2 linked regions of the Sus scrofa genome follow. The protein of the gene in region 2 purifies or fractionates together with the protein of the main gene of each other region. This does not show direct contact. Links are inferred from orthologs where the notes say so. Each region holds a gene or a part of one and is shown on either strand. Other genes may lie near its edges. The genes, in order: TRAF7 and MAP3K2.

Evidence for each region.
Region 1: the proteins of MAP3K2 (region 2) and TRAF7 purify together in Homo sapiens (affinity purification with mass spectrometry; 3 studies listed by BioGRID and IntAct, with this or other methods). This does not show direct contact. The link is inferred for Sus scrofa from reciprocal best matches to the Homo sapiens genes MAP3K2 and TRAF7.

What each region holds. Positions count from the first base shown.
Region 1 is NC_010445.4:39,811,435-39,815,244, forward strand, and holds the end of TRAF7 (E3 ubiquitin-protein ligase TRAF7), read right to left. Parts: coding exon 3,697-3,810; intron 3,622-3,696; coding exon 3,548-3,621; intron 3,328-3,547; coding exon 3,279-3,327; intron 3,200-3,278; coding exon 3,072-3,199; intron 2,908-3,071; coding exon 2,825-2,907; intron 2,112-2,824; coding exon 2,072-2,111; intron 1,990-2,071; coding exon 1,873-1,989; intron 1,790-1,872; coding exon 1,667-1,789; intron 1,483-1,666; coding exon 1,363-1,482; intron 1,254-1,362; coding exon 1,122-1,253; intron 1,040-1,121; coding exon 920-1,039; intron 751-919; coding exon 736-750; 3' UTR 369-735; downstream 1-368. UniProt on the Homo sapiens protein: E3 ubiquitin and SUMO-protein ligase that plays a role in different biological processes such as innate immunity, inflammation or apoptosis. Potentiates MAP3K3-mediated activation of JUN/AP1 and DDIT3 transcriptional regulators.
Region 2 is NC_010457.5:25,167,271-25,171,080, reverse strand, and holds part of MAP3K2 (mitogen-activated protein kinase kinase kinase 2), read right to left. Parts: intron 3,085-3,810; coding exon 2,955-3,084; intron 1-2,954. UniProt on the Homo sapiens protein: Component of a protein kinase signal transduction cascade. Regulates the JNK and ERK5 pathways by phosphorylating and activating MAP2K5 and MAP2K7. Plays a role in caveolae kiss-and-run dynamics.

The sequences.
Region 1 (3,810 bases), on a different chromosome or scaffold from region 2:
GGTCACTTGTGGACCCTTCCCTGCTGGATGCGCCTGGCCATCTCCCTGGCCTCCTCAGCGCGTGGCCCGGGGGCAGGCAGGTGGGGCGGGGGGTTCGGGCAGGGACCTACTGTCAGCTGTCAATAAACAGCTGAAAACGGAGCTGCCTGGCTGGCTTTTTGAGGGCGTGTACACTGGGGCAAGTGGGAGGCCAGCCTGTTCCTGGTGGGGAGGAGACGCCACAGAGAGGGCCGTTTTCCCCCCTGGGCTTGTCACCGGGAGCCTCCGGTGCTCCCACCCCAGGGTCCCTCCCACTGGCTGCTGGTGCCCGGGCACCCCAGTGTTCTCAGGCGGCCTCTCCCTCCCCAAGGGCCATCCGGACTCACAGCCACAGTCTGTGCAGCTTTTATTTCAATCAGGAAGTAATCAAATCTATATACAGTCTAAAAACAGTAGAAAAGGTGAGTAAAAAGGCCCACAGTCCACCTGGAGTCAGGACAGAGTGGGGGGCTGCTGAGCGTCGTACCTGGCACCCAGAGAGGGGCTGGGCACTGTCCTGGCAGTGACGATGACAGGGCCAAGCAGAGGGGGACTCGCTGGGTGCCGGGCAGGGAGGGCACTCACTGCCTGCCTGGCTGAGTCTGCCTGCCTGTCCCCACAGGGTGGGCAGAGACCCCCAGACCAACCATGGGGCCAGCCGGACTGGGACTGGTCTGGGTTGGGCCCAGAGCAAGCCAAGACCTGGCCCAGGTTCTGTTAGCAAGTCCAAACCTGCAGAGGAAAGGCTCCGTTTCAGGGGCCCCTTTGGGCGTCCGGCCCCAGAGCCACTTGCCATTCCTGCCTGCTGTCCCCCGCCACCCGCCCAGGGCTCCCGGCTCCCAACACCTCCCCCTGCTCAGCACGGGCCGCCCCTCTGGGTGGCCCGAACTGAGGCGCTGACCTTCACAGTGCTGTCCACGGCTCCCGAGAAGAGCCGGCCCCGGGACACAGCCAGGGCTGTCACGCTGCCCTGGTGGCGCAGCAGGGTCTGCGTGCAGATCATGTTATCCATGCTCCACACCTGGGGGCACAGGGCACATGAGGACCCGCCCCGGCCTGGCCACCGGCCCTGGGCCCCCCTCTGTTGCCAGGCCAGCTCGCACCCTGAGAGAGCGGTCGTAGGACGCACTGAAGACTTTGGTCTGGTCTGGCGTGGAGATGACCGCCAGGGCGTACACGGTGCCCACGTGGCCCGTCAGGGTTCGCACTTGCTCCTTGGACTCGATGTCCCATACCTGGGGGTGGGCAGGCAGAGGCGGGTCAGAGGCACAGACCGGGGCGGGGGGTGGGGGGCAGGGGGAATGGGCCCAGAGCTGGGCCCCAGCCCTGGGTGCCGGCTCTTACGTGGATGAGGTTCTCGTAGGTGCCACAGACGATGTGGTGGTTCGTCACGGCGATCGAGTAGACACTGCCACCAGACGTCTGCAGGACGTGGATGCAGTCGAGGGTCCGGATGTCCCAGATCTGGGGGCAAGCACAGGCCACTTGGTCCCAGCCCAGATGCCTCACCCCAGGGGTCTCTGTATGCAGGCAGCAGCACTGCCCACCCTGGGGTGTGTGTGAGGGTCTCCTTGGGCCGGCGGGGTCGGGGTAGGACAAGTGGAGTCCCGGGAGCCTGCCAGGGCGCAGGCGCTCGGGGCGGGCGCACCTTGATTGTCTGGTACGAGCCGCTGTACAGGTAGCTCTGGGCGGCCACCAGGGCCCGCACCCAGTGGTTGAGGCCGGTGAGCTCCTTCTTCAGCTTCAGCTCGGTGCCCACGATGTCCCAGACCTGGGGGAGCAGCCGTGAGTGCAGGCGGGCGAGCGAGGGCAGGCGCCGCCACCCGCCGCCCCGCCTGGCGCCCCTTGCCCCACCTTGATGGCTTTCAGGGAGCCGCTGAAGAGCAGGTTGTGCGAGGAGACCAGCGTGCACACCGGGTTGTCGTGGGCCCGGATCGTGTTCACCTTCTGCAGGTTCTGGATGTCCCACACCTGGCAGGAGGGAGGAGGCACAGTGAGCCCCAGGCTCCCGGGTCCGGGTGGGGCGTGGATGCCGCCCGCCGGCCCCACTCACGATGATGGTGCAGTCTGCAGAGCCGCTGTAGAGCCGGCACCTGGGGAGGCAGAGCCACGGTGTCAGGGCGCGAGAAGCCAGCGTCCTCGCTGACGCTGCCCGGGCCAGGCCAAGGGAGCACTGGCTCCCAGGAACCAGCAGCTTGGGCGGGGGGCCAGGGCCACCGCCATGTCCTTGAGCCCAGCCTGGGTTTTCCCGTCTCAGCGAAGGGCCCTTGGAAGTGGAGGCCCAGCCCCGTGCCTGCCTGGCAAGCGTCTGACAGCTGAGCTGAGAGGTAATTACCCTGCCCGTGTTGCTGGCAGTCAAGCTGTTGTTTCCTGTGAGCCAGCATCTCCCTCTCCCTTGCTCCCTCAGACACGCGTACACACACTCACACTTACGCCCACAACACAAAGCCTCAGGACATGAGACAGGAGAGATGTCTGGAAGGGGCTCCCTGGGGGGAAGGGGGGGTCAGGCTGGCTGCTCTGCGGGGCTGTGCCCCGGGCTCGGTTGCAGGTTGGCCGTGGTGAGTCCCCCCCTCCCTCTCTGGTCCCACCTCTGGCCCCTGCCCCTGCGGGACTCCAGGCCAGGGCATGTACAGCTTCAGGGACGGAGGGCTCACATCCTGCCACCCCGTGAGCCCACCCGCCCTGCTCGGTGTCCAGGCTGTCTCCCAGGAGGGGCAGACACCACCCTTCGAGGGCACGTGTGGCCACAGACCCAAGCGCCACGCGAGCCCTGCGGTGGGCAGACACACGTGCCTGCACTCACCCCTGGATGCAGAGTGCCAGCACGATGCCGTCGTGGCCCTCCAGCGTCTTCTGGCACTTGTAGGTGGTACACGTGTCCCACACCTGCAGAGACCGGGGGTCAGGGCAGGTCCCAGCAGGGTCAGACCAGTGGCACGGGGCACCACGCCAGGAAAGATGGCCGCTGTAGGGGGAGGGGAGCCAGTCCATGGGCACTGCCCACCCCGGCCCTGCCAGGCTGCCAAGCTCCTAGGCAGGACCCTGCCCACCTTGATGGTCTTGTCAGAGGAGCCGCTGAAGAGCAGGTCCCCCACTGAGTAGACGCAGAGGCACCAGACCGGGCCCTGGTGACCCACGAAAGTTCCTTTGCACTTGAAGATCTGCTGCGGGTCATAGGCTGCAGAGAGGGAGGGAGATGGGTGAGGGGCCCGCGGGGGCCTCCGGGACAGCAGCGGGAGCGGCAGGCGTGTACTCACATCCTAGGATGCCCGTGTTCAGCCGCGCGTTGATGTGGGACAGCTCGTCCTGCGAGGCCCAGAGCAGAGCAGAGAAGGGGTGGGCGGGGCCCCACGACCCTCCCGGGGCCCCAGGCCTGGGCTCTGCGGGGGACGGGCAGGTGCAGCGGAGCCACCCTCCCCAGGACAGACACCGAATCCTGAGCGGGCACAGGCCCCCTGCTGGGACCCAAGTGAGAGCCGGTCCTGAGTCTGTCACCCCACCTCCCGGCCCGGCCCCACCCGCTCACGTTCAGCATGGACGCGTCTCGCCGGAACTCCATGAGGTCCTCACTGAGCTTGCTCTGGTTTTCGTCCAGGACGTCTGCGCAGCAGGGGAGAGGGCGTCAGGGACCAGGAGCAGGGGCTGCCCCCCTGCCCCCCCGGGCCGGGTGCTCACCGAACTTGAGCTCCAGGTTCTTTTCCAGCTGGTCTATCTTCTCCGAGAGCTTGCCCAGCATAGAGCGCAGGAAGGCGATCTCCTGGTCCTTCTGGGCCAGCGCCACGTGCATCT
Region 2 (3,810 bases):
CTAAGATATTTTTATAAAGATAAGTCTCCTTTCATCCACTATTTAGTCCTCAGTAGTACAGCTCATAAAAGCAGAGTAAAAGGACCCTATTATGAAATAATGAGTAGGCTCCCTAGCAAAAATGATCAATTAATTTTTATCCTAGGTTTCATTATGAACTCATGGGTTTAAACAAAAGTGATCAGCTAGTTTTCCTTTTCCTTTGCCATTTAAAAACTGCTCATCATAAAAAGTTAGGAAATACAGAAAAAGTAAAAAGTATCCAGGAGAAAAGTAATTATCACTAATCCTGCCACTTGGAAATAACCACTGTTAATCATGTGGAAATTTTTCTCCTAGGCCATACTTTAATACTTGAGGTCATACTGCACATCTAATTTTATATCTTACACTTTTATCATATATCTTGCCCTGTACTGTTTATAAATCACCTTGCTTCCAACCTCCTCACACTGGCAAGGTGAAAAAACCCAGTTGGGGAGTAACTGTTTGAATAAAGATTATTCCTAACAGACTAATTCATAATAAAAATCATTTCCCTATGTATTTTTCTTTGTTTTACCATGTAAGTTCCAGGTACACAACACAGTGATTCAGTATTTCTATACATTACAAAATTGTCACCACCTTACATGGTTCTTTAAACTACTGGGTTTTATACTTGACAACTGGTAAGAATTGGTGGATCTTGAGGTGAAAGATAGGCTCCTCTTTTTTTCAGATCATGAGTGATGTGGTCATCTCCAAGACTCACCGGTCAGCTCCACTATACATGGGGTCTTGCCCAGGCATTCTGCAGCAGTTTCTACTCTATGACTGAAACTGGCTGGGAATGTTCTCTTTAGCCTGAATATGGCCTTGTTCAGGATGTGACACACCACCAAAAGGGAGTAAATTCATGATAGCTCCTAAGAGTTCCCAGGAAGGCTAATGGAAAGAAGTTTTAAATTTATTGTGTGTGTGTATTTGTTCATTATTCTCAACAACTGATTGAATAAAGTGATTTTTTTTTTTTTTCGTCTTTTTAGGGCCACATCCATGGCATGTGGAGGTTCCCAGGCCAGGGGTTCCAATCGGAGCTGCAGCCGCCAGCCTACGCCACAGCAACACAGGATCCGAGCTGCATGTGCAACATACACCACAGCTCACGGCAATGCCAGATCCTTAACCCACTGAGCGAGGCCAGGAATCAAACCCAAGTTCTCATGGGTTTAATTGCTGCGCCATGATGGGAACTCCCAAATAAAGTAATCATAACATTTGGGTCACAACCTGGTTTTTACAGAATGAAGCCTCCCGGTATGCTTTGGAGAACAGAGTTTTAAGACTCTTAAATTCACACATCTCTACCAATCAATTTTGTCTTGCTTCATGCAGTCACTTTATGTTTGATCCATGAAAACAGCTGAGTTTTAAAAAGTGAGCTTAACTGAGCTGGAATTCATCAAAGCTCAGTCTTGGGCTCTCTTTTTATTCTCTCCTTAGGTAATGATATCCATCCCACAGCTTTAAAAATGCTCTCAACATAAAGTACATCATGATTGTAACTAACTTTTGAGTGCTTTCTAGATACCAGGCATGGTATTAAGCATACTATATGCATTAACTCATTTAATTTTTTTTTTTTTAAGGCTGTACCTGCGGTATATGGAAATTCCTGGGCTAAGGGTTAAATTGGAGTTGCAGCTGCCAGCCTACACCACAGACACAGCCACAGAGCCTCATCTGCAACCTATGTCACAGCCTGCGGCAAGGCCAGATCCTTAACCCACTGAGCGAGACCAGGGATTTAACCCACATTATCACAGACACTATGTCAAGAAGTCCTTAACCTGCTGAGCCACAACAGGAACTCCAACTCATTTAATTCTTATAGGAATCCTCTGAGCTGTACACTGTTATTTCCCTCCTTAAAAATGAGGAACTGAGGCACAGAAGATGTCTCACAGTTAGGGAGAGATAAAGCCTGAATTTAAACCAGGCTATGTGGTATCAGAGACCCTACTTTTTTTTTCTCCCCATTTTTGGCTGCCCTGTGGCATATGGAGCTCTCGGGCCAGGTCTGAGTCACAGCTGCGACCCAAACCACAGCTACAGAAACGCCAGATCCTTAACCCACTGTGCCAGACCCAGAGCTCCCAAGATGCCTCCAATCCCACTGCGCCACAGCTGGAGCTCCTCAGGGGCCCTATTCTTAAGCATTATATGCTAATACCTGTGCTCTCTGGATGAAAACATGTCTCTTTTTTTATAATCATTTGAACTTTACTAAACCTGTGAACCCCACAGGGTAGTTTCCCTCCTGTGGAACCCTGATCATCAGGACTAGTTGGAACTGTCTTCCTACAGTATTTTAAAGGTAGATGTATTAATTCAAATGTCCAATTTCTTAACCATGTTTCATTAAAAAAAAAAAAAAGAGGGAGTTCCCTTCATGGCTCAGAGTTTAACAAAGCCGACTAGGATCCATGAGGACACAAGTTTGATCCCTAGCCTTGCTCAGTGTGTTAAGGATCCTGCACTGCCGTGAGCCGTGGTATCAATTGCACACGTGGCTTGGATCCCGCATTGCTATGGCTGTGGTGTAGGCTGGCAGCTGCAGCTACAATTCAACCCCTAGCCTGAGAACTCCCATATGCTACAGGTGCAGCACTGAAAAAGCAAAAAAAAAAAAAAAAAAAAAAAAAAAAAAAAGAGAGAGTGAGCTGCTGGAGTTCCCTACAGCAGCTCAAGGATCCAGTATTGTCTTTATGGATTTGATCCCCAACCTGGCACAGTGGGTTAAGTATCTGGTGTAGTCATAGCTGTGGTGTAGGGCACAGCTGTGGCTCAGATATAATCCCTGGCCCAAGAATTTCCATATGCTGTGGATGCAGCCATTTTAAAAAAAGAGATAGAGAATGCTGTATATTTTTTTAAAAATAGCTCATTTAAAAAAATAGTTCATTACTTACCTTTTATATCTCTATGAACAATCATATTACTGTGCAAATAATGGACACCCTCCAGAATCTGACGGGTGTATTTCCTAGTCACGTTCTCAGTAAGAGCTCCATATGCTTTTAATTGGTCCTTAATTGAACCCTGGATAAAAGAAAACAAAAAACTATAGTATGGTTTGAAATGAAAACTACCAGTAAATTTTTATTTTTAAAGACTTGTGTGTGTTTATTTATTTATTACTCTCACTGACTAAATAAACCTATGCCACAGCTGGGCAATGTTGGATCTGTAACCCACTGTGCCGGGCTGGGGACTGAACCTGTGCTGCCACAGAGATAATGCCGGGCCCTTAACCCACCACACCACAGTAGGAGCTATTTTATTTATTTATTTATTTATTTACTTATTTTTGTCTTTTTGCCTTTTCTAGGGCTGCACCTGTGGAATATGGAGGTTTCCTGGCTAGGGGTTTAATCGGAGCTGTAGCTGCCAGCGACAGCCACAGCCACAGCCACACGGGATCCGAGCTGCGTCTGCAACCTACACCACAGCTCAGAGCAATGCCGGACACTTAACCCACTGAGCAAGGCCAGGGATCGAACAGTAACCTCATGGCTCCTAGTCGGATTCACTAGCCACTGAGCCATGACGGGAACTCCCTATTTTATTTATTTTTAATTGAAGTTTAGTTGACGTACAATGTCATGTCAGTTTCAGGTGTATACCAGTCATATGACATTTAAATACATTACACAATTATCACCATGATGAGTCTAATAACCTCCTACCTCTGTACAAATTTATTACAGTATTTTTTATTATATTCATTATGGTATATGTTACACTCTCATGATTTATTTTATAATT